Linked DNA regions of Canis lupus familiaris. Each later gene encodes a partner of the first gene's protein in a complex. Links are inferred from orthologs where the notes say so. Each region holds a gene or a part of one and is shown in the gene's direction. Other genes may lie near its edges. The genes, in order: SMARCD3, DPF3, DPF1, PHF10, SMARCB1, ARID1B and ACTL6B.

What was found.
Region 2: SMARCD3 (region 1) and DPF3 share a complex: the UniProt entries of both Homo sapiens proteins name them as parts of the BAF complex. The link is inferred for Canis lupus familiaris from reciprocal best matches to the Homo sapiens genes SMARCD3 and DPF3.
Region 3: SMARCD3 (region 1) and DPF1 share a complex: the UniProt entries of both Homo sapiens proteins name them as parts of the neuron-specific chromatin remodeling complex. The link is inferred for Canis lupus familiaris from reciprocal best matches to the Homo sapiens genes SMARCD3 and DPF1.
Region 4: SMARCD3 (region 1) and PHF10 share a complex: the UniProt entries of both Homo sapiens proteins name them as parts of the neural progenitors-specific chromatin remodeling complex. The link is inferred for Canis lupus familiaris from reciprocal best matches to the Homo sapiens genes SMARCD3 and PHF10.
Region 5: SMARCD3 (region 1) and SMARCB1 share a complex: the UniProt entries of both Homo sapiens proteins name them as parts of the BAF complex. The link is inferred for Canis lupus familiaris from reciprocal best matches to the Homo sapiens genes SMARCD3 and SMARCB1.
Region 6: SMARCD3 (region 1) and ARID1B share a complex: the UniProt entries of both Homo sapiens proteins name them as parts of the neuron-specific chromatin remodeling complex. The link is inferred for Canis lupus familiaris from reciprocal best matches to the Homo sapiens genes SMARCD3 and ARID1B.
Region 7: SMARCD3 (region 1) and ACTL6B share a complex: the UniProt entries of both Homo sapiens proteins name them as parts of the BAF complex. The link is inferred for Canis lupus familiaris from reciprocal best matches to the Homo sapiens genes SMARCD3 and ACTL6B.

What each region holds. Positions count from the first base shown.
Region 1 is NC_049237.1:16,005,755-16,009,928, reverse strand, and holds the end of SMARCD3 (SWI/SNF-related matrix-associated actin-dependent regulator of chromatin subfamily D member 3), read left to right. Parts: intron 1-193; coding exon 194-316; intron 317-438; coding exon 439-561; intron 562-811; coding exon 812-907; intron 908-1,061; coding exon 1,062-1,163; intron 1,164-1,400; coding exon 1,401-1,562; intron 1,563-2,314; coding exon 2,315-2,412; intron 2,413-2,574; coding exon 2,575-2,710; intron 2,711-3,006; coding exon 3,007-3,129; intron 3,130-3,248; coding exon 3,249-3,350; intron 3,351-3,565; coding exon 3,566-3,619; 3' UTR 3,620-3,924; downstream 3,925-4,174. UniProt on the Homo sapiens protein: Involved in transcriptional activation and repression of select genes by chromatin remodeling (alteration of DNA-nucleosome topology).
Region 2 is NC_049229.1:46,575,195-46,580,000, reverse strand, and holds the start of DPF3 (zinc finger protein DPF3), read left to right. Parts: upstream 1-1,885; 5' UTR 1,886-1,918; coding exon 1,919-1,950; intron 1,951-4,806. UniProt on the Homo sapiens protein: Belongs to the neuron-specific chromatin remodeling complex (nBAF complex).
Region 3 is NC_049222.1:115,605,709-115,609,558, forward strand, and holds the end of DPF1 (zinc finger protein neuro-d4), read left to right. Parts: intron 1-1,001; coding exon 1,002-1,114; intron 1,115-1,731; coding exon 1,732-1,855; intron 1,856-1,994; coding exon 1,995-2,065; 3' UTR 2,066-3,167; downstream 3,168-3,850. UniProt on the Homo sapiens protein: May have an important role in developing neurons by participating in regulation of cell survival, possibly as a neurospecific transcription factor. Belongs to the neuron-specific chromatin remodeling complex (nBAF complex).
Region 4 is NC_049233.1:72,418,892-72,421,806, reverse strand, and holds the end of PHF10 (PHD finger protein 10), read left to right. Parts: intron 1-464; coding exon 465-573; intron 574-858; coding exon 859-1,047; intron 1,048-1,308; exon of another isoform or gene 1,309-2,095; coding exon 2,096-2,181; 3' UTR 2,182-2,291; downstream 2,292-2,915. UniProt on the Homo sapiens protein: Involved in transcription activity regulation by chromatin remodeling. Belongs to the neural progenitors-specific chromatin remodeling complex (npBAF complex) and is required for the proliferation of neural progenitors.
Region 5 is NC_049247.1:28,807,016-28,811,189, reverse strand, and holds part of SMARCB1 (SWI/SNF-related matrix-associated actin-dependent regulator of chromatin subfamily B member 1), read left to right. Parts: intron 1-604; coding exon 605-742; intron 743-2,695; coding exon 2,696-2,823; intron 2,824-4,174.
Region 6 is NC_049222.1:47,261,482-47,265,655, forward strand, and holds part of ARID1B (AT-rich interactive domain-containing protein 1B), read left to right. Parts: intron 1-1,176; coding exon 1,177-1,381; intron 1,382-4,174. UniProt on the Homo sapiens protein: Involved in transcriptional activation and repression of select genes by chromatin remodeling (alteration of DNA-nucleosome topology).
Region 7 is NC_049227.1:8,990,760-8,994,933, forward strand, and holds part of ACTL6B (actin-like protein 6B), read left to right. Parts: intron 1-1,030; 5' UTR 1,031-1,479; coding exon 1,480-1,504; intron 1,505-1,971; coding exon 1,972-2,048; intron 2,049-2,250; coding exon 2,251-2,416; intron 2,417-2,724; coding exon 2,725-2,825; intron 2,826-4,174. UniProt on the Homo sapiens protein: Involved in transcriptional activation and repression of select genes by chromatin remodeling (alteration of DNA-nucleosome topology).

The sequences.
Region 1 (4,174 bases):
CCACATGTGGAGGTCCTTTCTGCTGGATATGCAGTCCTGGGGAGAAGTCCCCATTTGCACTCTCCGAGTTCCATGCCCCGAACCTGGCCAGTTCCCCGCTATGCTTTTTGTACCCTGGGACTGCATGAGGCGCACATTCCACCCACAAGATTGGCTGAGCCCCAGGTTCCCTGCCTTGCTCCTTCTCTTCCAGATCCGGGAGCTGGTCCCCGAGTCCCAGGCTTATATGGACCTGCTGGCGTTTGAGAGGAAACTGGATCAAACCATCATGCGGAAGCGGGTGGACATCCAGGAGGCTCTGAAGAGGCCAATGAAGGTGTCTTGATTTGGGGGCATGAAGAGGTCTCTAGGTCCTGTTCCAGGAATGGAAAAGTGGGACTGCCCCGGGAATGGGAGCACACAGTGTTTGCTCTTGTACTATATTCTTTATTTCTACAGCAAAAGCGGAAGCTGCGTCTTTATATCTCCAATACTTTTAACCCTGCGAAGCCTGATGCTGAAGATTCCGATGGCAGCATTGCCTCCTGGGAGCTGCGGGTGGAGGGGAAGCTCCTGGATGACGTACGTCCTGGCCCAGGTCTCTCCAGGTGTCCTGGGGTGGGTATGGGGCTGAGCTGAGGACAGAAGGAGATGTTTGCACTATGGGTTAGGGAGTCAGCCCAACCAGGGGTGGGCGGCCTGAAGAGACAGTATGGGTGTAGAGGCCTGCTTCTAATCATGCTGCCCTACCCAACCAGCCCCACCCACTCCCGACTCATCCTGCCCCCACGGTCCCTGTCCTGCCCCCACGGTCCCTGTCCCTCTCCCACAGCCCAGCAAGCAGAAGCGGAAGTTCTCTTCCTTCTTCAAGAGTTTGGTCATTGAACTGGACAAAGACCTTTATGGCCCCGACAACCACCTAGTCGAGGTAAGACCCAGACCTCTTTTGCCCGGGAACTGCCACCCTTCCAGACCACAGTTCCATCAGCCGCACAGATCTGGATCAGGGACCACCCTAGAGTCCCTGGCCTTGGCAGCCCATGTGGGCCTGTGAGGTGACCCAGCTCTCCTTCCCTGGGCAGTGGCACCGAACACCCACAACCCAGGAGACGGATGGGTTCCAGGTGAAGAGGCCAGGGGACCTGAGTGTACGCTGCACACTGCTTCTCATGCTGGACTACCAGGTCTGTGCCCTGCCCCCTGACTCCACCTGAGGCCCCTAGCCCCCCCAGCTCCCCACCCCTTCCCTTAGGCCAGGCCTAGGCTTCACAGAAATGCACCAAGAGACCCCATTCTTTTCCCTACCTCATTTCCAGAAGCAGGTTTCCCAGGAGCCCAGTCACCACATTCCCCCAGTCCCACACTGCCTGGCCCTGAGCTCTTCCCACTCCCTCTTTATGTCCATGGCCATCTTTCCTCAGCCTCCCCAATTCAAACTGGATCCTCGCCTGGCTCGGCTGTTGGGATTGCACACACAGAGCCGCTCAGCCATTGTGCAGGCCCTGTGGCAGTATGTGAAGACCAACAGGCTGCAGGATTCGCATGATAAGGAATACATCAATGGGGACAAATACTTCCAGCAGGTACCCTCTCTCCTGATCTTGGGGATGTGGGGGGCAAGCAGAGGTACCAATAGGGTAAGTGCCTCGACTAAGGCAGCACCACCCCCCTTCTAGATTCCTGGGTATCACAAATGGTAAGCAGGGTCCTAGTGTAGGCCCTACTGCAGCGTAGCTCCGTGCTGCAGCCCACCATCCATTTTAGACAAGCCAGTTTAGAAAGATCCAGAACCTTAAAAGGTCAACAGTTTGGGGAATGTAATATTCTTGGCACTTGGAAGTTAGGATCCCTGGGTTCTAGTCCTGGGTCCAAGACTCTACCAAAGTAGAGATTATTAATAATGCTTTAAAAATAAATATGGCAGATAAACTTGAGGAGTAAAATAACAGTCGAGGTTTATTGAGCACTCGCCATATGCCAGGCACCACTGCAGGCATTTGATGTGTACTCATCCACTTAGTTCTCCCAGCCACCCTGGTAGTTACTATCCCCACACCGGACATGCTACAACAGGCCTGAGAGCCTAGTGGACTGGCCCAAGGTTGCAGTGTTAATGGGAGAGGCAGGATTTGCACCTGGGTGGCCACCGACCCAGAGCGGGTGCTTTGGTCCCCTGCACCACAACCCCCACACCTCCTGGTCCACTCTCTACTGCCCACAGACACCCTGGTCCCAGCCCCAGCAGCACTAAGGAGTTAGATTTGCTCTTGGCATCTTGTGGCCGCCCACAATGGAAGGATCTAGGGCTGACTGGTCTCTTTCTCTCCCACCTCAGATTTTTGATTGCCCACGGCTGAAGTTTTCTGAGATTCCCCAGCGCCTCACAGCTCTGCTGCTGCCCCCTGACCCAATTGTCATCAACCACGTCATCAGGTGAGGCCCCAGCTTGCTCCTCTGACCAGAGAATCATGGCAGTCCTGCCCACTCTATCCCTCCCACCCCACCCCACCCCACCCCTGCCCCCCACCTCTGCCCCTGGGACCCTTGGCCTCTGTGGAAGCAGTGTGGATACCAAGGGCTGGACTTCCCTGGCAGCGTGGACCCGTCGGACCAGAAGAAGACGGCGTGCTATGATATTGACGTGGAGGTGGAGGAGCCACTGAAGGGACAGATGAGCAGCTTCCTCCTGTCCACAGCCAACCAGCAGGAGATCAGCGCTCTGGACAGTAAGGTGGGGCCAGAGCCCAGAACTGGAGTGGGACATTAACCCAGAAATGACAAAATACAGACAACAGACAAGAGCGTAGGCCTATGGAGAGATGAAGGGGGCAGGTGGCCCTTCCCTCGATACTTGGGAGTGCTGCCCATCCCCCCTTCCTCGGGACTACAGAGGCAGCAGCGACCTGAGGGATAGCCCTTCAAAGAACAGATGGCAGCAGATCCCAACCCCCACTCGCCCCCCTCCTCCTTCCCCTCCTCTCCCACATCACCATGGCCAGGTGAAAGTGTCTGTCTTTCTACCTGTAGATCCATGAGACGATTGAGTCCATAAACCAGCTCAAGATCCAGAGGGACTTCATGCTAAGCTTCTCCAGAGACCCCAAAGGCTACATCCAAGACCTGCTCCGCTCCCAGAGCCGGGACCTCAAGGTGAAGGGGACTCAGGGAGCACTGGATGGAAGACAAGCATATCGGGAAGACAGTAAATGTTGTTACATGGGGGCTGGAGGGGGTCTGGGCACAGGGCTGACCCCACTGCTCCCTCCCAGGTGATGACAGATGTGGCAGGCAACCCTGAGGAGGAGCGCCGGGCTGAGTTTTACCACCAGCCCTGGTCCCAGGAAGCTGTCAGCCGCTATTTCTACTGCAAGGTGTGGAGGGGCCCGTGTACCTCAGGCCTTCCCTCCCTCACTCCAGGAGAAGCCTCCCTTCTCAGCCACGTCTGTGGCCCTTGCCACTCCACCAACCCCCTCGCCGCGGAGGAGCCCTCCCTGCTCCCAGAGGCTCTTCCAGGGTGGCTGGGTGGGACTGTCCTGTCACTCACCAACAACAGCGTAACCCTGCTACTGCTCTTATTTCTCTAAAGATCCAGCAGCGCAGGCAGGAGTTGGAGCAGTCGCTGGTTGTGCGCAACACCTAGGAGCCCCTGTGAATGACCACCGCTGTGGGCCTCTGGGCCCAGGCCCTGTCCCCAAAGCTCTGCCATCACTCTTCTGACACGTGCCGGGTGAGGCAGGGGAATGATTAAAGGTCATGCATCTGAGAGCGGCCTTGTGTGTCATTGGCAACTGGGGAGGAAGGACAGGGGGAAGGCGGTGGGTCCCTCTGGGAAACCCCCCCCTCTGTCCCAGATTCTTCTCTTTACTCCATTTTCCCTAGACCTAAAAACAGTTTGGCAGAAGACGCTTTTAATAACATTTTCTTATTAAAAAAATACAGCAACAAGCTCTCCATCTGTCCATCCATTTTGCCTCACCCTTCCCAAGGCTGGCAGACAGGGGAACTCCATGGAGGGGCAGGGCCCCGGGGCCTGCTACGTGCTGTTGGCCTGCTCCTGCTCAAACAGCGCCATGGCCAGCTGGGCCCGGCCCCCCAGCCCCTCCAGGTTGCTGAGGCGGCAGCGGTGGTAGAGCTCCTCGCTGAGCCGTGGGCTACAGTCACGCAGGGCGAACTTCTGCACCAGCCCTGGCTCCAC
Region 2 (4,806 bases), on another chromosome or scaffold:
TTCCAATTTGTAATATAAATTTGTTTTCCCTCTCCTATTAAATTGAAAGCCTCATTCAGGGCGGGCTCCACATTTCCCGCTTCCTTTATCAAGCTGCATGTATGAAAAGTCTGCAGTTGTCTTCCAATCTGCTGTGGTTTTGATATCTCAAAGAGGTTGGTGGGAGTTCTGGCTGATACTTCAAACTCCTCAGAGTTCTTAGGTCTGAACTTTGCTTGCTTTTTAATGTTCCCAAACCCCATCCTAGGCCAAGAACTAGCTTCTGAACCACTCCCTTCCTTGACAAATTAGTAAGAAAAGAATTTTTCAAACTTTAATTTTAGAAAAATGTATAAGGTGTTTCAAGTGACAAAGGGGTTACAAAGAAATCTATAGGACTTGCCTATGAACTAGGCAGAAAGAAGGAGCTAAAGATTTCAAGTCTTATAAACAAACATACCCATTCAGTCTTATTCTGTTTTTCTGTAACTCTAATAGTGTATGGAATTGCGCTCTGAAAGTTCTGGAACATTATTGTTATTATTATTATTGTTAATTTTAATTCATTGCCTTGAGAGGAGCCCTGAGAAAGGAAGTGAGAGTGCAGAGCTCTGAAGAACTGGTGGCAATTTGGCATCTTCTCTCCCCCTTTCCACCCCTCCTCCGCTATTTTAGCTATTTGACCTGATTAAACAACTTTGGGATGTTAGCCAGATTTCTGTATGCTAACGAGGCCCCTATTCATGATTTAGTGCGATTTCATCCACCGGGAGATTCCCCGCTGCCCCGTGGAAGCCTGGCTTCACCGAAGTCTCCCAATTTCGTCGGGGGTTCGCCAGTGAGGAGTTCACGCTGACTTGGAGCAGACACAGACTCTGAACGCCTCGGGTCCTACCGGATTATTCAGTGGCAAATTTTTCCACCGTGTACCTAAGTAGTGAAAGGTGACGCCAGAATCGCGTGTGCTACTCCCCGAAAGAGACTCTGGCAACACCTTCTGTCTAGTTACTCTCTTTCCTAGTAGCAGAAAGCGTTTCCAAAAAGTTTCCTTAAACCTCCTCTGTCCCCAAGCCTAAAGGTCAGAGCGCCAGGTCCCACTTGGCTCCCCGGCCGGCCGGAATCTGACCATTTCAGAAGTTTCTGGTGTGTGTGTAGATTGGAAGAGGTCGGAGTGGGGAACCGCGCACAGCGACCACCGCGCATTACGTAACGAAAGCCCTGGCTGCCGGAGGGAGCGAGCCTGACATTGAGACATTCCAGGGGGAGGGGAGTTGCTGTCCTGGAGTCGCCGGGAACGGCGGCAGCAGTTCCAAGAAACCGAGAGAGAGAGAGAGAGAGAGAGAGAGAGAGAGAGAGAGAGAGAGAAGGTGGCCGAGATAAAGAAAACACTACAGGAATGAGAATGTTAAAAAGCCTTGGACCTAGAGCATTAGCAAACTGCTGGGCACGTGTAGTAATTTGTTAGACGAAACGGCAGCCTTCCAACTTTTGCACGGGAACGAGGGGATTTGCCCTTTGGGGGATTAAAAACGTAACAGCAAAGCCAAAAGCTAATGAATGGGGTTCAGTGGTTTGTTGGCAATACTTAAATATTTCTGTCCAGGAGCGCAAACTCTCTGCAATTATTTAGAAAGTAGGGACTCAAACCAAACTAGAATACTTTCCCCGTGCGTCTCCACTTTCCCAAATCCGAAAAGGAGCTGCTCTCGCGGTACTGCCCCTTTAAGACCTGCTTGCTCTCGGGCTCTACAAAAGGGAGTGACCTCTGGGCTTTGACAGCTCCCCTAATAACTACCACCGTGCAGGCCCCGCCCATCTGGCGACCAGCAGCGCCCATTGGCCAGCGGGCCGGTATCCCGTGCTCTGATTGGCTCGCCGCTTCCCCTGAGCGAACCTTTAGAACTCTGAGACAGACAATATTCTGTTACATTGTAGCAAAATGGCGACTGTCATTCACAACCCCCTGAAAGCGTAAGTAAGACTAAAAAATGTACATATTCCGCCTGGTTTCAATATGAAAAAAAAGGCGCCTTCCGCGTGCCAAGCGCTGCCAATGCACTGCGCTTGCAGGCGCCTGCAGCCGCGGCGGGGCTTCTCTTTTCTTTCAGCTCTTACTTCTTCATCTTCTTTTTTTTTTTACCCCCAACGCGCAGAAATGTCAAGAGATGCAATTAACAAGAAGAAAATTGTTACGTTTGTGTTCTGCTTAATTGGAAGACGCACGGAGAGGGGTTTTCGGCAGGGGAGCCAGGCGCTCGAGCGCTCTACGGGGGGGGGGGGGGGGGGGAGGCGGGCGGTCGTGGGCAGCTCGGGGACTGCACGGTCCCCCGAGTGCCCGGCGTCGCGGGATGGCGAGCGCGGCGCGGGGGGCGGCCGAGCTGGGGGCGAGCGCCGGGCAGGGGCCGCCTGGGTGCACTTGGCTGCGCCCCGCGCCTCCGGAGTCCGCAGCCCCTGCCCGGCTGCTGGGTCCGCCGGGGCGAGCGGACCGTGGCAGCTCCGGAGTTTGCAGGGCGCTTTACGCCTTCCGATCGCTCGCGGGGAGTTTGTGCAAACCTTCCGGAGTTGGGAGGACCGCAGGGGGAGCAGTGGGTCCCGGGAGCCCTGGGGCCCAGGTGATTGCCCGGGGGCTTTCCTGCCGGGGCAGCCCCCCGAGCGTGACCGCGCTCCGGGCGGTCGCCGGTGTGTCTGCGTGTGTTCGCGGGCGAACTGGGTGTAGTGTATTAACGACTCGGGTTAACTTGGGGTTGATTGGGAGGCAGGGAGGCTGCAGGTCTTATGAATGGTGTTCTTGCCTCCTCTGGGTGAAAAACCGAGGCGGGCGGAGAGGCAGCTTCTGCTCCCGGCCAGAGCGAGGGGCAGGTGCCTCTGGCCGCCGCCGGGAGACTTTGAGCGGACGCCCAGATCCCGGACGCAGGGGGGCGGGCTGGGCGAGGACATGCGGGGACCAGTCCCCGGGTCCGACTGCCAATTCCTGCCTGCCTGCCTTCCTGCTCCTTTTCGTCCTGGCTTCCTTCCTTCCTTCCTTCCAGTCGATGGAAATGTTAAGCCGCCAAGTCCGATCGCGATCGCGGAGCCGCTGGAGGCTTCGGAAAACTAGCGTCGCCCTACAAGGGGTGCTATTGGCAATGATATTGGCAGAGGAGAGCTCGCTCCCCCATCGCCGCGCGACGTGGGTCGGGACTCCCGGTCGCCGCGCGGCGTGGCTCGGGGTCCGCGCCTCTGGGACCAGGACTTCCCAGCCGGGGTGGGAGCCGCGGGCGAGGGGAGGGGGAGATGCAGGTGGGGGGCGTTTCGTGCAAAATTCTCCTGGCTGTGTGGCCGATGCCCGTGCGGGTTATTTCAACTCAGCGCACCGCGCTGGCACCCCAGGCTCCTCCTGGAGTTGAAAACCACGTTCGCACCGGGGGAGGGAGGGAGGCTGCGGGGGGTGTGGGGGTGTTTCCTAGCGCAAAGGAACGCGCGAGGGTAATCGGACGTGTTTGCACCAGCTTATCTCCCATCATTAATAGGGGAAAAGGTAGTAAGGTCCCCGGTTCGGAGTTTTTTTTTTTTTTTTTAATATACATGTATTAAAGCTGCGATTAAAGCTGCGATTAAGAGGAAGCTGGAAGCTGACGCCGATCACAGAACAGCCCCCGGCTTTAGTTCTCGCTCGCAAGCTCGGATACACTGCACTGGAACGCCACAACGTTTCAGCCAAGAAAGAAAATGTTTTACAGCAGAATAAATGGGCGTAACTTCGCCGCATCCTCGCTCCCCGGTCGCTCGCGCAGCCACACCGCTGATGCTGTGAGTTTCAGCCGAACCTCCAGCTGATTTGCAGTTTCCCCATTTCCAGCCGAAATCACATAGGCAGGCTGATGCCACCTGGTAAACTCAAGTTAGAGAAATCTATTTCACATGTGCGCCAGATTTGTTTCCTACTGGGAAAGCGGTACCAGCGTTACCTTGGAGCCCGCTCACGCGCCGGCAGGCGCAATATCTCTAAACGCTCCAGGGTTTGTTTCCCTGCCGGCTCCGGTTTTTTGTTTGTTTGTTTGTTTTTGAACTGCGGAAGGGTGCGTGTTTGGCGAGGGTGTCTGAGTGGGGTGGGGTTAGAGGTGGAGGAGGGAACAGAGAAGGGGGCTGGTTTAGTGGAATTAGTCCTGAATTATTAAACTTATACTTTGTAATAATTAGAGACAGTTGCAATGACATGTTTTGTAATTCTGTGTCGACACACACACACACACACACACACACACACACACACATACACACGCGCGCGCGCGCACGCGCTAGCATACACACAACATCCCTGCCTGCCTTTTCTAGACGGGAGTTGAGTGGTCATTTTTTAATTAGCTCCTCCTTTTTGCATCCCAAACCCTTTCCCTGGAGGAAAGGGGGTGTAAACAATACCCACCCCCTCTCCCGGACGAGCCGAACCTCCTGCGCTCCGGACGGCTTTTAAACTCCTAATGCAGGAGCACACACGTTGTTATTGGGAGACCCACACCATCTGCCTTTATTTTTTGAAAACAACTTATTTAGCAAGACATCTTCTACATTTCATTTGTTTTTAAAAGTTGCTGATCAGGAAACAATACACACGTAAATAAATTATGCATGGGATAAATTAGAACAAAGCGCAGAGACACATCCAGCTAAAGGGATGGATGGTGGTGTAGGGAGGAGGGGAGCCGCGAGAATGGTTTGGAGAGCTAGGTTTTTATCCTCTTGTGTCCCTCCTGACAATGAAACGGAGCTGAACGACATTAGCATTTTCTCTGTGTGCCTCCGAGTCTCTCTCTCCCTTTCCTAAAAAAAAAAAAAAAAAAGCCAACC
Region 3 (3,850 bases), on another chromosome or scaffold:
TCTGGAGGATGGGAGGTGGAGAGGCGCGGCCTGGTGGGGGGAACCCAGGGGTGGCGCAACGGATTCCACTGCTGAGGACTGTGGGAAACCCAGAGGGGTCAGAGAGGCTCTGGGATGTGGTTGTCATGGCATTGGTGGTGGTGGCCTGTGCTTATCATGGCACGAGGAGTGGTGAAGGATGGTTGCCCCGGCATCGTGGGGAGTGGACTGTGATAATGAGTCATGGATGGCCACTGTCGGGGTCCTGTGGATAACCGACGGCGCTTGCCGTGGACTTGTGGTTAATAGAATGTGGTTTCCCAGGGTGGACTTGTAGGTAATAGACTGTGGTTGTCTCAGCACAGTGGGTAATGAATTGTGGTTGTCATGGTATTACGGGTAGTGCGATGTGGTTGTCATGGCGACTGGGTAGCTGTTGTGGCACCGGGGTAGTGGCCAACGGGGGGGTCTCTGCGCTGGGGTAGCGGGACGGCCAGCGGGTTGGCATCGCACGGTATTGTCACAAGCAGTTTGGCGGCCAGGGTATCCCGGGTAATGGGGCTCGGGCTGCAGGGAACCCAGGGTGTGGGGCCCCCCTGTGCCAGGCAGTTGCCATGGCATCGCGGCTGGGAGAACGTGGTTGCCACGTTACTGTGGTTAACGGAACCTGTTGGCCATTCTGCTGTGGGTAATGGAATGCGGCTGCCTCAGCACAGTGGTTAACAGAATGTGGCTGCCCGGGTGTTGTGGGTGGTAGAAAGTGGTTGCCACAGCACTGTGGGTAATGGAATGCGGTTGCCATGGTGTTCCGGGGAGCAGAATGTGGTTACCATGGTGGCTGGGTAGGGGCCGGGTGGCCGCGGCAGCAGCGCGGCGGCCCGGGCACCGCGAGGGGGGGGTCAGGCCCAGCCTCAGAGCCGGGCTGGCGTGGGGGCCGGGCCGTCTCCTCCCCGGGCTCAGCGGCCACCGCGGGGGAGGGGGCACGATGGCCCCTAACCGCATCCCTGCCCCTCGGCCCCCAGGACACCCCTCATGTTTACAGTTTACGGTGAACATGACGGCAGCCGTGCGGACCTACCGCTGGCAGTGCATCGAGTGCAAGTCCTGCAGCCTGTGTGGTACCTCGGAGAATGACGTGAGTGGCCGCCCGCCCCGCCCGGACACGCCCCCGGGACACGCCCCGCCCCGCCCCGCCCCGGGACACGCCCCCAGGTGACCTGCCCGCCCCGCCCCTCGGCCCGCCGGGGCGCCTCAGGCCGCTCCCTGGAGCCCCTCCCCGGGGAGCAGCGGTAACCTGTTCTGTCATTATTGTTAGTGTCCGTTAACGGGCCGGGCCCTTAGGGCTCCTCATGTCCCTGCCTCCTCCCAACCACCCTCTGAGGTAGGTGCCCTGTTCCCACTTCACAGAGAAGAAACCCAGCTCAGGGAGGGGAAATGACTTGCCCGAGGTCACCCGTCTAGGAAATTAGTAGAGCTGGGACCCGAACCCACATCCAGTGCTTCCAGAGCTGGTATCAGACCACCTGGGTGTCATTTTAAGTGTTCCGCAGACTCTGTCAAACCCAGACGACACACTGCAAACGGACAGACCACAGGGGTGTTCAGCTTGGCCAAGCCGGGTTCTGCAAAGATCCCGTGATGCAAAGACCTTCTCGGAGCCCCTTCTCGTGGGAGGGACCAACCTTCCCCAGCCCCTCTGACCTACCCCTGCCCCAGCCCCCCCACCCCGGTTTCTGGTGCCCGTGCCCCCAGGGTGCCAGCTGGGCGGGTCTCACCCCCCAGGACCAGCTGCTGTTTTGTGACGACTGCGATCGGGGTTACCACATGTACTGCCTGAGTCCTCCCATGGCGGAGCCCCCGGAAGGTGAGAGAAGAGGTGGGCACCACACGGGCGTGGGCAGGTCGAAAGGCGGGCTTCCTGCTGGAGAAGACCAGGCACTGTGTGTCTGCTGGTTGGGAGGGAGTTGGGCCAGCCCTTCCAGGACCTGGGCCTAACCCCCTGTCCTCCCCCACAGGGAGCTGGAGTTGTCACCTCTGTCTTCGGCACCTGAAAGAAAAGGCCTCTGCCTACATCACCCTCACCTAGGCCTGGCTCTGGCTCACCTGGACCTCTGGGGTGGTGCTGACCCATCTGCCTCTCCGAGCTCCTCCACACCCTCCCCGCCCTCAGTGCCCCACCGTGGGAGGGGGAGAGGGGGAGCCCGAGAGGGGGCTGGGCCCCCCCTTCCCTCTGTGCAAGTGGAATGTTTGCCCTGTGGGTTGGTGGGCCTAGCAGGGCTCCTCTCCCTTCCTCCCTCCTTCCCCATCCCTTGGCAAATGGGCACCAGGGGCTTCTGCTCCCCTCAAAGCCATACCCCGCCTCTGGGCGGGCATGAGGGGCGGCAGATGCCAGCCCGGGGCACGGACACAGCGTTTTTCTAAAGAAAAAGTCAAAAAGTTAAAAAAAAAAAAGAAATTAATATATACAAAGAGTCCTCTAAGGCCTGGCCGGGTGGAGGGGGCACTGCTGAGCATCCACTGGGCACCAGTCTATGCGGCTTCCTGCCGAGCAGCCCCGCCCCCCGGTTTCCGGAGTTGCAGCTGTCCCGCCTCCGCACCCAAAGTGGGCACCATTCCCCCGTGAGCCCGGGCAGGTGGGTGTGGTGTCCACCCTCGCCCCGCCCTGGTGCCCACCGTGGATACTGCATGACGTGAACCATGGTTTTGAACTCCGCTCCCGCTCCCTCCCCGAGCGCCCCGCCCTGCCCGCTCCGTGCCCGCCGTGGCCGAGGTCGGGCCGCCGTGGCGGTGTGGGGGGGGCACCCCCCAGGCTGGTGGGCGTCGGCTGGGGGGGCCAGGCGGGCCCCCGCCCAGCGCCTGCTGGAATGAGAAGCACAGACTCTGCACCGGACTGGTTTTTCCTCCTTCCCCTGCTCCAGTTCCCCACCGGCCAGGCCGGGCTGCCCCCTGCCACCCTCGCTGGCCATTTTGGGGGTAGCGAGGGGGCGTGGTTGTTTCTCGTGGTTGTGTGTGTTTGTTGTTCGGGTTAAAAAAAAGGGAAATTGAGACTGCAAGTGGGGGAGGTGGTGGGCTTGGGGGGTCTCCCCCGATCCACGCATGCCCCCCCTTGTACACGAGTCTCCTTTATTGCCTGCCTCTGCTGTGAATTAACTTGTTCTGTGTATTAAACTGGGCCTGACCCCTCTGCCCGCGACCGCCTCGTTATGCGGGCTGGATTGGGGGGCATCGCCAGGAAGGGGAGACGGGGGCCTCGTGGAGGGAGAGCTGACCGAGGTTAACAGCTGGAGCCCGCCCGACCTCCATCTCCCTCCAACTCCCCCCCCACCCCGCCTTTCCCTGGCTTTGTCCCAGCTCCTCCCAGCCTCGCCGGAAAGGAGAAGGGGGATGGGGTGGAGGGGGCTCCCGCCCAGCCAGCTGTGGTTGCCCTGGCAACGGGCTGCTGCAGCTGCAGCGATCGGCAGCGAGGGGGGAGGCGGGGGCTGGGGCCTGGGGGGAAGGGATGGGAGGATGAAGGGGCCGCCCTCCGGGGCTAGGGGAGGGGGCAGGGTGCCAGGAGCACCTCCTGTAATCCCCCGACCTCACCTGGGGTCCCCCGTCCCAGGGATGCTGGGAGGGAGGCAGATTTGGGTGAGGCGGGATGAGGAGAGAACCAGGACACCGAGAGATCAGCAGAGAGACACACATTTATAGAGAATCGGAACAAGAGCAGGAGAGGGAAGAAATAGATCTGGAGAGAGGTAGATGAGCGAGCCACGGGGGGGGGGGGGGGGGGCGACAGAAGAGATGGAGATTCAGTGGGAGAGGAAATAATAGTAAGAAAAAATAGCAGACACACCAGGGAGAGACAGGAGGAGGAGGTAGAGAGTGATCT
Region 4 (2,915 bases), on another chromosome or scaffold:
GTGACTTAGATTTTATAGATCTATTTTTACAACCTTGTAAAATAATCAGGTTTTAACAAAATCAGTATATAAGCTTCTTAACATGGAGCCTTCCATTGTACAGTAAGCCAGACTTCTAGGTAATGGTCATTCGGTACCTGGATTTTTCTCTTCCAGTTAAAAGTGCAATTTGACATTGTAGTCTGCCCTTCCAGTTCATTATACAGATCTTACTGTGCCCGTAGGCAGTGTAGAATGCCACATTTAATCCTAACATGAGATCATGCTGTTGACAAAATTTTAAAACCACATCTAAGGCTTTAGCCAGTAGGCCATTGTATTTGAAAGCTGGCTCTCAAGTTAGGTCTTTCAAAAAGGTCCTCATTAGCAAGATACCAAAAGTAAAGATAAGGCAGTTACAATTCCTTATGAACCCATAGGAAGTTCTTCTGGCATGAATTTATAGCCCTCTTCTACCCTTCCAGCCAAAGGTCATTCCAAATGCTCTATGTGGAATTTGTCTGAAGGGTAAGGAGTCCAACAAGAAAGGGAAGGCTGAATCACTTATACACTGCTCCCAGTGTGATAACAGTGGTAAGTACTGACATGTCTTCTTAACATTTTAACCACCCTATTTGTTGCTTCAGAAACCAGGATTTCTAGTTGTCAGCTAGACCTGAGTCAAAGAATCATCAAATATATAGGGTGACCTATGAGGCATAGAAAAGCAGCCCGTGTATTCTCTACTTTGTATTGTCATTTCTTTGGTGATTAAACATTGTAGCCATTCTCAAGAACTCCCGAAGCAAATTAGCATTTGATTATGCCATAGTAAGTGCAAAATTCTTACGTGAAATACTAATGCTGGTTTTGGTTTAGGCCATCCTTCTTGCCTGGATATGACAATGGAGCTTGTTTCTATGATTAAGACCTACCCATGGCAATGTATGGAGTGTAAAACTTGCATTATATGTGGACAGCCCCACCACGAAGAAGAAATGATGTTCTGTGATGTGTGTGACAGAGGTTATCATACTTTTTGTGTGGGCCTTGGTGCTATTCCATCAGGTAAAGACTGAAAAAAAGGAGGAACGTTATCTCTGAGTGAAGGGACTCTCCCAGCCTTTTTTTCTTAAAGGCTCACATAAACACCATAAAGATCCTTCTGTTCACAAGAAGTGACCAGAGCTGTGGTTACCCAGAAAATGTCCACCTGCTTTTCATCCCTAGGTAACCCAACTGAATCACAAGTGGGATGTAAGTGTTAGAGGTACAGCTTAATACATAGAGAACTCATGTCTTTCTACTGGAAGAACTAAAGAGCATCAGTTTGTTTCAAAGCCTTGATTTTATTTTTATGTCATCTATTCAGAAACTTAACAAAATGACTGCTATGCCTTTATAAATATTAAACCAGATTTCTATAAAATGAGACAGCATGACAATTCCAGATAACTTTGGAATGAACAGAGTCGAATAAATCACAGTAATTGGACTAAAATATTACACATAATTGTGTAAATTTAGAACTTATTTGCATAGTTAACACTGTATAATACTTTATAAAATGTATGCCTAGAACTAAGTTTCCTGGGAATCATTAAGAAGCAGGCAACTTGAAGTTCTGTAGTAACTCAGATGGAGTACATGGTGCAGTTTATCAGTGATTAAGTTTAAAGTGCTGAGTCTGGTACACCGGCCTTGGGAGGAAGTTTAGACTCGCACTTGCCACTGAGCAGCAGGGAAACGGCTGAAAGTGAGCCAAACTCTGTAACAAGTTTTATATCAGGATTTGTATTATTGAACTCAAAGTGTGGTAGTGTTTGGGTTATAGAAAGGATGGTAGTTTTCAAAGGTCCCCATCATTACACACAATTACCTCCTGCCCCCTCCACTTGCATTGAATTTCACATGGTATTGATTACACTGATTATTTTAAGGGAGTTTATTTTTCTCCTTAAAAATTATTAGAACTCCTTATTAGAACTAAGTGCCCTTCACAACACAAATCCACAGAGAAATTACTAGCGATAGCTAAAGGAGAGCCAAATGGGTTTAAAATTCAGTCCTAAAGAATTAAATTTCATAGTATATTAACTAACAATTTTTCTCCTAGGTCGCTGGATTTGTGACTGTTGTCAGCGAGCCCCCCCAACTCCCAGGAAAGTGGGCAGAAGGGGGAAAAACAGCAAAGAGGGATAAGATAAAATAGCTTTCTGACCCCAATATTGTAATATGGATATAAATGAAATATTTGGTGCCAATTTATTTACATTCTCAATTTTATGCCAATAAAAGATTTCTGAAATTAACTATGTGCTTAAAATCTGCTACTTTATTTATTATAAGCTACTTTTACCTTCGAAACCAATTTTAGATAGAGAAATCATAGTTCATTTTCCCAAAGTTTTTTTTAAATCTTTAGTACTTTGGCTCTATTCAGAAATTCAGTGGAAATATTACGTAATCGAAATACTCAACTATTCCTTCATTGACCAGAAAGTGAATAGTAGTTGCATGAAATTTTCCTAATCTATATGGTCTCTGGCCTACCACTGGCAGCATAACAAAGTTATTTAATGATGGAAGAATTTTAACTAATAGGTAGGCCAGGATGATAAATAACAAACGATCTGATGAGAGTTGGTGCAGCTGGGTTTCCTGTCTGGACAGGGGCGCCCACTCCACCTGGGGGCAGGCCCAGCGCTTTAGCCCCGCAGCCACGCAAAAGCGCAAAAATGTACGTTTCAGGCTTGATTTCAGCAGCAGCTTCAAAGTCCTAAACACATTGTAACTTCATTCAGAAACTCTAGGGAGAACACAGTTCTAGCTACCAGCCCTTTCATCTGATGCTCTGTTTTGATTTATCTTCTATATTCCTAGGCTACTGCCCTGTTTCAGTCACCTGACAAGCTATCAACCGGAGTCTAAACATT
Region 5 (4,174 bases), on another chromosome or scaffold:
TCCATCTCAAGCTGGCCTGTGTATCTAAAAGAGTGATCTGATCTTTCTCTGCCTTCTTCAAATCCCCCAGCCACCGGCCGAGTGCAGTCAGTTCTTGAGGAACATGCCAGCCGCCACAGTGGGAACCCTCTCCATGTCCTGCCTCTCCAGCCCCAGCCCTGCCTCCTCACTCTTGCCACCTGTGCACTTCCTGAAATGCCCTTCCCATTCCAGCTCTTCCCCTACTCCCGCCCCCAGTGAGCCCCAACCCAGGACTTAAGGTTCCACTCCAGGGTTTGCTCCCCTGGGAAGTCTCCTCACTCGCATTCCTCACAGAAAGGGTAGGGCTTCCATGGAGTCATGCCTAGCACATTCCGTGTTATACTGGGACTCATGCACTCCTGTGACTGCGGCCTCTCTGCACCCTTCCTGTAAGCCAGGTGCCTCTGAATGGATGCCATGGGAGCCTGAGGAGTACACGTGCAGAATCTGGGGTGCTGGGGGGTCACCACGGACCACTGGAGCCTGCCAGGGGTGCAGTGGGTTTCCACAGACCGTGACTTGGAATCTGATGGCCAGTATTGGGCTCCAAGACTGAGCAGGGACATTTCTCGCATCTCCCCAGGGAACAGAAAGCCAAGAGGAACAGCCAGTGGGTGCCCACCCTGCCCAATAGCTCCCACCATCTGGATGCTGTGCCCTGCTCCACGACCATCAACAGGAACCGCATGGGCCGGGACAAGAAGAGAACCTTCCCTCTGTGGTGAGCGTGCCTCACTCTCTGCTGATGCCGCCTTAATTTTACCCTCTTCCCTGCCTTGACTTTATGTTCCCCCAAACACTATGCTGCCTTCTCGAGACTGTTCCCTGTCGGCTTTGGGGACAGCCAGTCTCTGGCTTTTGCTCTGGCTTGCTCCAGCTTGCTCTGCCTTGCTCTGCCTGCTTCAGCCTCGCTGCTCTTGCCTGTTTCCCCAACGCCTCCAGGTTCTCACAGTTCTGGGGACAGGAGTTCAGTGCAGCAAAATCAAGGTGTCAGCCGGACCCTGCTCCCTCTGGAGGCTGGGGGGGAAGGCTCTTCCTGCCTCTTCTGGCCTCTGGTGGCTGCCAGCATTCCCTGGCTTGTGGCTGCATCACCAGTTTGTGCCTCAGTGGGTCACAGGGCCGCTTCCTCTATGTGTAATATTGCCCGGTCTTCTCCCAAAAGGACGCTTATGATGTGATTTAGGGCTACTTGCATAACCTTCTCCTCTTAAGATCCTTAATTATATTTGCAGAGTCCCCCCCACCACCGCTACCACCATATAATGGTCACAGGTTCCAGGGATTAGGACTAAATTTCTTTTGGGGGGCATTTTCAAGTTCACCCCCACTTTTATCTCTGCAGCCTGCCCTCACCTCTACACACTATCCTCAGGTATCTGTCACACACTGCTTGCCAACTTTTTGAGTCTAGGACACAGTCCTCCCTCCTTCCTGCCCTCAGGCCAAAACCCCAGAACTCTTCTCCTGCACACTCCTGCCTTCTTAGCCTTCCAAGTGTCCGGAATTGGACCGCCTTTGGCCAGCTCCCCCTCAGATGTGGGCTCCCTCGCCCAGGCCTGGAGTCCTCATAGTGGCCGCCCCCGTCTGGTTTCCTCTCTTACCGCCCTCACCCTGCGTCAGGCACATGAGCCTCCTCACTGCCTTCAGAGCCACCCAGAAGCTTCTGTAGTTCCCTCGGCCGAGAGCTCATTCCTTGCCAACACCTGCACCGCTGACCCCTTCTCCCTCTTCCTTCCCTTTCTCCCTTTCCTTCCCATCAGTGTTTGAATGTCACCTCTCAGAGCTGCCTACCCCTCTTTAGAATGGCCACTCCTGTCTCTGTCTCCTGTCGCTTTCCCTGTCATGTTTCCCAGAGCACTGCTGTCTGGCATACAGTGTGTTTTCCTCATGTTTGTCATCTCTGCCACCCCACCCCCCACCCCCACCCCCACCCCCGCCGAGCAATTCTCAGCCCTCCGTATTCCGCAGACACCCTTAGGTTCCCAGTGCCCTCCTGCATACCCCTGCCCCCCTCACCACCCCAGCCTCTTTCCTCTGTGTCTTCCTGAAATACAGATATGACTGCATAACTGCCTTGCTCTGGGTTCTCCTGGAGCTCCCTCGGGGTAGAGGCTGGATTCCATAGCCTGAGATGGAGAAGCATGGGTACTTGGACACGTGTAGCTTCTCTGTGTCCCCGACAGTGCTCCTTCCCTCCTCCCAACCTGCATCCCACCCTCAGTGCTCTGGCTCTTGCTCCCCAACAGCTCCTCACCACTCCTGCCCCTTGGATTTGGTTAAGTATTTCCTCTTCTGAAAATACTCTTCCAAAAAAGAAAAAAAAGAAAAGAAAATACCCTTCCTTACCTACAGTTTTCTGTGAAAGTTCTACCTGCTTTGGGGCTTAAATCTCGCTTCCTCTGGGGTACGTCTAGGTCATACCCCACTGCCCAAGGCCGTAGCTCCCTCTCCTTCCCTGAGTGTCCTTGAAGCCTGGAACTCTGCTCCTGTGGCTGCAGGACCCCTGCTTGCCTGGTCTCCCCGCTGGCTCAGCCCTTAGTTAACAAGTCACCATAAGAAGTGGGTTTCTCCCTCTGGCCGAGTTAGCAGTGACAGTAGTGCAAAGAGGGAGGGAGGCCCTGAGCGTGGAGACCCATGGCACCCCTTGCTGACTTTGCTGCCACTTCACTTCCAGCTTTGATGACCACGACCCAGCTGTGATCCATGAAAATGCATCCCAGCCTGAGGTGCTGGTCCCCATCCGGCTGGACATGGAGATCGATGGCCAGAAGCTGCGAGATGCCTTTACATGGAACATGAATGGTATGTGGGAGATTGGGGTCTGCGCAGCCCAGGCCCAGCTGAAGTGTGAACAGTCCTTTTTCTTGCCTCCTGCCTGTTGGGATCCTGGACTCTGAACACGACATTCAGAGCTTTGTGGCATAGATTGTTAGGGTGTGGACTCTGGGTTCAGATCCTGCTTCTGCCCCCATTTCCTGTGGGTTGGGCATGTGAGCCTCAGATTCCTTCCTCTCCTAGCGAGCTTGGGCAGGTCAGGGGCCAGTCAGGATGCAGCCTCTCTATCCAATGAGCTCACGATGACTTTGCTGCTACTCAGATCAGATCAACGCATGGCCCTCTACCCACCTCGCATTAGCTCTGTCCAACCCTCTAATCTGTCATGATGCCGTGTGTGCACGTGTCATACCTCTCTCATCCCAGTGAGGTCTACCCTCCCTTTGTCTGTTCTTCCTTTTCCCATTCTCACTCTGTAAGTCCTGGGTCAGATGCCTGCTCTTCCTGGTTCCCAGACCCTGAGCATGACTTCATGCTCAAGAGAGCATACTCTTCATGAGCAAGAGAAAGCGTAGGAGACATTTTCTTTTTTTATTTTTTTTCTAAAGATTTTGTCTATTCGTGAGAGACACAGAGAGAGAGGGGAAGAGACACAGGCAGAGGGAGAAGCAGGCTCCGTGCAGGGAGCCCAATGTGGGACTCAATCCCGGGTCTCTAGGATCACACACTGGGCTGAAGGTGGCACTAAACCGCTGGGCCACCTGGGCTGCCCAGGAGACATTTTTCAGAGTGTTTTGTCCTTATCCCATTCAGGAAGGAGGATTGCATATGTGTTTATTTTTTCTTTATTGTTTTCCTGAATCAGACTTTTTAAAACAGATTATTTATATTCAGACCAAAACCAAAGAACAGCAATGAAAAAAGCCCCAGTGAGTATAATTTTTAAATGAAGTTGAGAATCTCCAGAATCTCAGCGTTCCTAATAATAGTTTCCCTGCCAGTCATTTGGCACGTGCAAAGATATTTAACAGAGTTGTAATTATAGTGCAAGTATAATTTTATTTTTCTTCACTTATAAGTATCCTCCTGGTTTCTTTGGTCTTCATAATTGGCACACAATTTTCTGTTGAGTTGTAGTGCCTTCTTTTGCTAAAACTCCTTCTGCTATTAGACATTCCCATGGCAGAGAATATAATCGTTTACAACTTTTTTCTCCCAGAGGGGATTTCCTCAAGGAGGAACGTGTGTAGTTGTTGATATGTGGTTGCCTTGAGCTTTCTAGAGGGATTAGGCTGTTTCCTTTGGTCATCTCCTGGCACTTGATATGCCAGGTATGAGTCCAAGGGCCTCTGCCTGGCTCTGGGAACAAGGCCTGAGA
Region 6 (4,174 bases), on another chromosome or scaffold:
TAAATGGACATAAAGAGCTTTGTGGGAAAGTTTGAATCCAAAAATTGAACATTTCATTAAAAAACCACTGTCCTGGGGATCCCTGGGTGGCTCAGCAGTTTAGCACCTGCCTTTGGCCCAGGGCGTGATCCTAGAGTTCCAGGATCGAGTCCCGCGTCAGGCTCCTGCATGGAGCCTGCTTCTCCCTCTGCCTGTGTCTCTCTCTGTCTCTCTCTCTCTCTCTCTTTCTGTGTCTATCATGAATAAATAAATAAAATCTTAAAAAAAAAAAAAAAAAAACAACTGTCCCCTTAACTCTTACCATGCTACTTAGCAGAAAGCATATCTAAAAGCAGATTATTCCCCAAGTATTTGCAGGTCTGTGTGTTTCCTTAAGGCGTTCAACCTTGGATAACGCTGGCCCAAGTGGGAATCAAAAGTTAATGCCCAGAATCCTATTGCAGCATTTCAGGATTTCTCTCCTTTTTTTCTCCTCACTTTGCGGCTGTGTTCTCTTCAGCCAGAGTGTTAAGTGGGAACACTGTGTAGTCACCTGTGCCCTGCCCCTTCCCCTGGCTCACAGGGACCCGCCACATCGGCCGGCTGGTGGCCTCAGAGCCACCCAGGGCTGATGGCTGGTGTGGGCTGCCCTAGAGTCCCCTTTGCCCAACACCATAGGAAAGCCTCCTGTGAGAGGAGGGACACGGGCTGGAATTACAGGCTCGGCTTTCTGGAAGCTTGTGGCTGTTGGAAGGAAACAGTGTTTCTCATATCAAAGCTATAACACTTAAACTGCAAAACAGTCAAGTTACTGCTTTTTAAATTTGTTTTCAGATGTCCTTTTTTTTTTGATTGGAGGTGGGATGGGGGTGAGCGAGAGTGTACATTTGCTCGGGGAAGATCGCAGGCTCTGAGCAGCAGCGGCCTGGGAAGAGTGAGGCTTTAGAAGGTGCATCAGGCAGAAGAATCTCGACGAGCAGCATTTTATGTAGCTATCAGCAGGTCCCTTAATGGTTTTATAACTGTAAATGCTGTCTCTGCACTACTGAGTGGGAGTAATGAGCATTAGTTAAGAGAGGCAAATGAAAAAAAAAAAAAAAAAAAGAGTAAACCAAGACATTAAGTGCTTTTTTTGTCTCCTGGCTTTAAACAAGCCACTTTGCTACAAACCAATGATCCTGCCATTTTTTTTGCTAGGTTAATAAAAACAAGAAGTGGCGTGAGCTGGCAACCAACCTAAATGTTGGCACTTCAAGCAGTGCAGCGAGCTCCCTGAAAAAGCAGTATATTCAGTACCTGTTTGCCTTTGAGTGCAAGATCGAGCGCGGGGAGGAGCCCCCGCCGGAAGTCTTTAGCACCGCGGACACCAAGAAGCAGCCCAAGCTCCAGCCGCCCTCTCCTGGTAAGTGGGAGCGCTACAGTTGTCGCCGGGAAAGGCAGTGGCACCTGCACCCCCCACCCGGCGGGGCTCTGGAGGCCACTAGCCACTTCTGAAAAGGCCACTTCCTGGGCAAGCACACAGAACGCAGGATCTTTGAGGATAAGGGGTGTTTTGTAAGGGAACCCCCGTTGGCAGCGCTTAAGGGAACAGAGAATATAACCTAGGATGTGGCCGTTTGGGCCACTGTGGCCAAGGCACCATTCTCCTGCCTTACCTTCCTTCATCAGAAGAGACTCTGGAAGCCTGAGCTATATACCTTTCTTCCTTCTCCACATATTTAAAAAATATTCCATCTAACCATCAAAAACCAGTCGCCCCAGTTACCCCTGTGAATACTTTGGTGCTACCAGAAAACACTGCCCTGAAAGTTTAGCAGCCAGTTTCCACCAGTTCTGCTTCTGTCAAAGAATGAAATCCGGACTCAGTTTTTAATGTTCTCCTGCCCAGCAACTTCCCACTTGTAGGGAATCCAGCAGACCTGTCATGGTGGAGGTCCCTGCCACCCTGTTTCTGAGGCCCAGCAGCCGGTTAGCTCAGACCCGAGGTCAAGAGCCTTAAGAATGCTACCTGGAAATAATGCAGTTCACCCACAGTCTCCTGAGCAAAACCAAACCCACGATACCTCCCTTTTCTCCTGTCTCTCCACTCCACCGTGGAGACAGGAGACATGCCGTTCTCTCAATTCCCCCGGTAGCCTCTCTTCTACCTGTTAGCATTTCAGATTCCTGAATCACTGTCTTCTACTGAATACGGTATTCTTAGATAGGAAGAGACGTTCATCACCCATAGATCTGGGTGGTGACCTCACACAAGTTAAATCCAGCTGTCTTCTTGCCTGGCCACATCCAAGCCCTGTGATGGTCAGCACTTAGCCACACTGTCCTGCATACAGAATGGGACTGACCATTCCTGCCACTTCCTATCAGATTGTTCTGGGATCAAATGCCAGTATTTCTTAGGTACTTACAATGTACCAGGCTCCTTCTTAAGTGCTCTACCATTTAATCTTTACATCACCTCTATGGTGCACATACTGTCCCAAAGTCCATGAGAAAACTAACACACAAGATCTAAGTAACTGTCCCCAAATCTCATTGCTAAGTGAGTGGCACCCAGCTCGAGCATTATGCCTGGACCTACTATATTCCTCTGCCTGTGTCTGAAGTGGCATTATAATAAGGAAACCTTCCACGCGTAGAAGAAGGTGTCTGTGATCCAAAGAAAGAAGTTGTTTTCTCCTTGTTTCTCTGCTGTCTGGATGGCAATCTAGTACCTACGGTCATTAATCAAGAGATCACACATAAATACTTCTTAGGGTCAAGATGCGCTTGTAGGGAATATACCTGGGGTATATATTTAGACCCGTCAGTTCGAAACACAATTAGAAATGCTCTCTCAGCCCCACCCTTAAGGATTTGAAGCCTTTGCAGTTCTGGTTTACCTTAAAACTGTGAAATCTAATTTTAAAAGTCTCACAACATTACATTCAGTTCACAGGGTAAAACAAGCTGCCTGTGAACAGCTCTGAAACTATTTTTCCAAAATAAAAACTCAGTGGGGTGTAGGGACCAAAGTGGCGATGTCTGCAAAGATGTAAAGGTATATTTTATTTGCCAGGAAAAACTCATGTCACTGAATGGGCTGCACTTCTGTATGGAGAATAGCTCTCCCAGTGAGCATCAGCTTCAGTACAAGAAATCCCGCTGAGGTATAGACCCTTCAGAAAGTGGAGGGCCTGTTCTCTCAACAGTCGGCTCTTTCCTTTTTCCCTTTCTTTAAACTACCGTTTTTATGGCAACATTATCGTTTTAACTGCACAAAGGAGCTTGGATTGCAGATGCACTTCTGATAACGCGTTTTCCGTGGTCCACATGGTCCGGAGTCTTGTGAATCAAGAAGCAGGAGGAGGAGGGTGTCCTGAGCCCAGCCTCCCGGTCAGGGCATGGCCCAGGCGACCTCACGCAGAGCACATGGGGCCAGGCCGCTCTCCATACCCTGCTCATACAGACGGAAGGACACACAGACTGGCCGGTAGGGGAGCGAGGAACATCAGCCCCAGAACCCATAACACACTTTTCCCTGACACTCATGAGTCCGTGGCCTCTCTGACACCAGAGCAATCATTAGAGAATACGAAATATATTTATCGTCAATGAAGGAAACAAGATTATTCCCCCACCATTTGCCACGTCAGGGTCTCCTACACTACACAATTTTTAAAAACGAATTTTCAGCCAGCATTTGTGTTCTTAGAGTCCATTCTCCCCCTAAGAAGGTAATTATAGTGTATTTCTTATCAACACATCCAAACTAAAAAGATTCCTAAGAAAAGTACTAGATTGCTTTCTAAATGGCCACTCTGAAGCCACCTGAATTCCCAGCTCATTTGGCTACACTAGCGTTGTGTGTCATCCATCTGTATTCCGGTTTCGATCTGGTGTGGCCAGTGTGGACTGAACTTCCTTTCCGCCAGCCTCTGGGAGGTAGAACCCCTCGGCCCGTGATCTTCACCGTAGGGACTGTGTGGTTTCTCAAGCCAGAGCTCCATGTTACTGTCTTCCAGTGACTTGGGCGAGTCCATTGAGGGAAGCTCCCAGATGAAACGTGGGCAAGGCCTGGGGTACAGTTGCATTTCTGAGGTGCCAGTGGGGATCTCGTTATAATAAGCCTGTAAAAGTTCATGGAGTTCTAATGAACAGCTGCAGAAATCACCTCCCCAAGTGGCCTAGGAGGCCTGGAAGCTGGGGTGGGGTG
Region 7 (4,174 bases), on another chromosome or scaffold:
TTTGTAGGGGAAGTGAAGCAACTTCATTAAATGTCAACAAAAGGAGAGGTACAGGCCACGAATAGAATCACTTTCTACTCCAGTGTTCCTGTAATCCTCACCTCAGCAACAACAATAATAATAACAGTAATAACAATTTTGTAAGATAAATGCAGGTGTCAAGAGGTCAAGGGACTCATCCAGTCATCTAGGTCTCAATTTATAGAGGCCAATGACTAACTCAGAAATATTTCAGTTTCCCAGCACTGAGTCAGCTCTCTCCCCTACAGCTCACCTCTCCCACTTAAGCCTGGATGCCTCCAGTCTGAGGTTCTAGGCCTGGACTCCCAAACAACATTGGGCATGTGAAATGCCACTCTTGCCAGTGGGTGATCAATGAGCCACCTTAGTCTCTTTCAGAGCGGGCATCTGGTGAGCAGAGAAACTTCTGGGGCATTGGTTGTCACAAGGTATCCTCTTCCTGTGCCATCCATGGTCTTTTTTTCCTTTCCCTTTCCCTTTCCTCTTCTTTTTCTTTCTTTCTTTCCTTTTCTTTCGTGTGTGTGCCAAAACCCGCTATCCATGGTTTTAATGCTTCCCTCACACTCAGCAAATAGGTAAGAGTGCCCTCAAAACAAACATTCACATGCATATACAGACATGCATATGCACATGCACACATCCTGACACGCATAAACGCATACATATAGGCACACATCTACACACATGCTCACATAAGAGTCGCTCAGCTAAGCCAAGCTGTCGGAGCTGCTCCTTCACCTTTGCTATTAAAATTGCTGTGGAGGTGGTGTCAGGCCAGGAAAACAGCTGGGGAGAGATAGATGGGGAAAGGGAGCTGAAGATGGGTTAGCTGAGCACGGGTACACGTGTATATGTATAGGGCCCAGGCACCGGGGACGGGAGAGGAAAAGGGGGCACTAGAAAGACAAGGATAGAAAGAAACAGGGAGAAGATGGAGACACGCCCCCTCCTGTACCTCTCTCCTCCTTCCCTTCTTCCTTTCCCTCCTTCGCCCGGTGATTTCATTCAGACTTGGGTATGGCAGAACCTTGATCAGGAGCCAGAGAATGGACGACTCTCCAGGACTATGGTGCCCTTTTCTCGACCCCATTTAAAAAAAGTAAGAGAGCAGGGGCCCCGTGAGACGTCCTGAGGCGTCCTGGTCTCCAAATGGACAAGGTTTCCATCTCTTGTGTACGTCTGCTCTCTACCTGGCTATCTGTTAGAATCGATCTCGAAGTCCTTGCTATCCTCCCCACAATCTTAAAGTTGCGGTGTCTGCCCCTTTAAAGCAGCAGCCCCGGGTCCGGTTATTGTCTCGCCTTGCAGCCAATCCACGGCGTCATTGGGGGCGGGGGATCCGGCCTCCTGATTGGCTACTGAGCGCCCCGCCCCGCCCGGGATCCCGGGAGCTGTCCGGCCGCCTCGGTGCTGATCCCGTCGCCGCCCACGGGCCGTGAGCAGCGCTAAGAGGGCATTATGAGCGGGGGCGTCTACGGCGGAGGTGAGCTAGCCTCGGGCTTCAGGCTACCCAGCCTGCTGCGGCCTCACCGGCAGCCCTGCACCCCGAACCCGCGCGACCTAAGCTCTGGGCACCCTAGGGCCTGTCACCCCGGCGCTCGAACGGGTCCAGCCCTGGGTTTGGGTCCTGCGCCACTCCTACCTTGGTCCTCCCAGGTCGGTCGTTTGCGCGCACTGGGGTCACTCTCCACCATCCAACTCACCTCCTCCCGGCCCCCTGGCCCCTTCTTTCCCGGCAAGGAGAGTGGCCTGAATAAGGCCACTGGGCAAGAAGGGACTCTGGGGAGGCTTGATCCCCACTCCCAGGACCCCGGACTTCAGGCCGAGCTCCTACTTGCCCCGGCAAGCGTTGAAGGTGGCGAGACTGGCTCTGCCTTGACCTCCTCTCCGAGCTATCCAGGGGGAGAGAGTTTGGGAGAGGTCCCCTCACACACCTGTCTCCCCACACAGATGAGGTGGGGGCGCTGGTCTTTGACATTGGCTCCTTCTCAGTCCGCGCTGGGTACGCTGGGGAGGACTGCCCCAAGGTGAGCCTTCCAGCCCCATCCCCAAGTCCTAGGGCCTCGGACTCCCCTCCAGGCTTCCCAGTGACCCAGGGTTCTCACAACACAGAGAGAAGCTCTGCAGAGCGGGAATGTGGGAGTAAACCCAGGGGCGGGCTGAGGGCCTTGCTATGGGTCTGGATAGGGGCAAGAGGTTGATCCCTCTTCCTGCCCATGCCCCCTCCAGGCTGACTTCCCCACCACGGTGGGGCTGCTGGCCGCGGAGGAGGGGGGCGGGCTGGAGCTGGAGGGGGAGAAAGAGAAGAAAGGGAAGATCTTCCACATCGACACCAACGCCCTGCATGTGCCTCGGGATGGAGCAGAGGTCATGTCGCCCCTCAAGAATGGCATGAGTAAGGAGCCCCCACCCACTGTCTCCCACCACAGACCAGGATCCCACTCACCACAACCCAGGACATATCACCCCACACTTACAGAGTCTATCTTGCAATTGCCCACATCCCAGGAATTCCCTCACAGCTTCCCACAGCTGACTGGTTCCCAGCCCAGGGGCCCAACAGATTCCCAGGAAGGGGGGATTTCTGCTAGAACTGATCTCACTTCCCCTCCCCTGGACTTGGCATCCCTCCTTCCTTTGCTTTCTGTCCCTGGACCCCTGCCGGCCCACCTTCATCTCTCCACGCTGGCCTCCTGGCTCCAGTTGAGGACTGGGAATGCTTCCGCGCCATCCTGGATCACACCTACAGTAAACACGTCAAGTCCGAGCCCAACCTGCATCCAGTGCTCATGTCTGAGGCCCCGGTAAGTGCCTCACCCAAACCCTAGTCCAGCCCCAGGTGCTCCCTACCTCCTTTCTGCCATTCACTTCTCCCTTCTTTTTTTTTTTTTTTTTTTTTCACTTCTCCCTTCTGAAAGCATCTGCCATTGATCACTCCACTTAACTTTTCAGACTTTTCTTCCAACTCCACCATCTTCAAGCACTTTTTTTTTTCCTCCCTGGTTTAGTCTTTATCCCTCTCCATCCTCCTGTTTTATCCATTCATATCTTTTGCCCATTCAGCCTTATCCACTGCTGTTTCTCCCCCTCCCCCCCCCCACCAAAGTCCTTTTGGACTTTTTAACTTAAAATTTTTGTCAATGTTATATATGCACATAACCACTTTGATTTAGAAAATATGTTAAAGAAAAAACGGCCATTCATATCCTCTTCCTTCCATTCCACTTTTCCAGAGGCAACTGCTTTTCATTTAGAGAAGTTTTGTCATATTATTCTATATCTCTAAATATCCCATTCAAATGCTGCTTGTGGATTTTATAGTTTTAGGGATTTATTTCCCACTGTAGAAAATAAATATTGAGGGGTATCTGAGTGTCTCAGTCAGTTGAATGTTGGGACTCTTCATTTTGGCTCAGGCTGTGATCTTAGGGTCATGAGATTGAGCCCTGCATGGGGCTCCATGCTCCATGGGAATCTGCTTGAGATTCTCTCCCTCCCCCTCCCATTCCCCCTCCTTCTCCTTGTACACACTCTCCTCTAAAAAAAGAAAGAAAGAAAAAAAGAAACATTGAGCTCTCTTTCCTCCTCCAGCCCACACCACACACTTCCCTCATTCCTCACCTTTAAGTATAGTTGTATTTTAGATTTCTAAAAAAATTATTATTCAGTATTTACATTCTTGTGTTTATATATGGTAATCAAGCCTCAGGCAGGCAATACTCTGGTCACTTTTCCTTTCCTGCACAGCTCCTTTACATAGAACTGAAAATTGCACTGATTTTTATTTTGCTTAGCTTTCTATTTATTTAATGATATGACCCTAAGTTATTCATCTGCTATTATTTATCTGCTTATGTTATCTATATCCTTTCTCAAACATTAGCTCCATTAGATATTCTATCAATTTGGTCTTTTTGAAGAAATCTCTCCAAAAACCCACTAATTGCTCCACTTTGGACTTGTTGCCTTCTATACAAAAGACATAGCTATCATCCTGACATCTCCCTTCACCATCATCTTAGGGCATCCCCTCACGTCTCTCCCGTAATAGAAGTCCTGTTTCTTGAATCTCATTACTCCTTTTCTTGATGTACTCCCTTGTTTTCATAGAGCACATCCTCCAGTAACTGCCTTATAAAGGTCATGAGAGGTA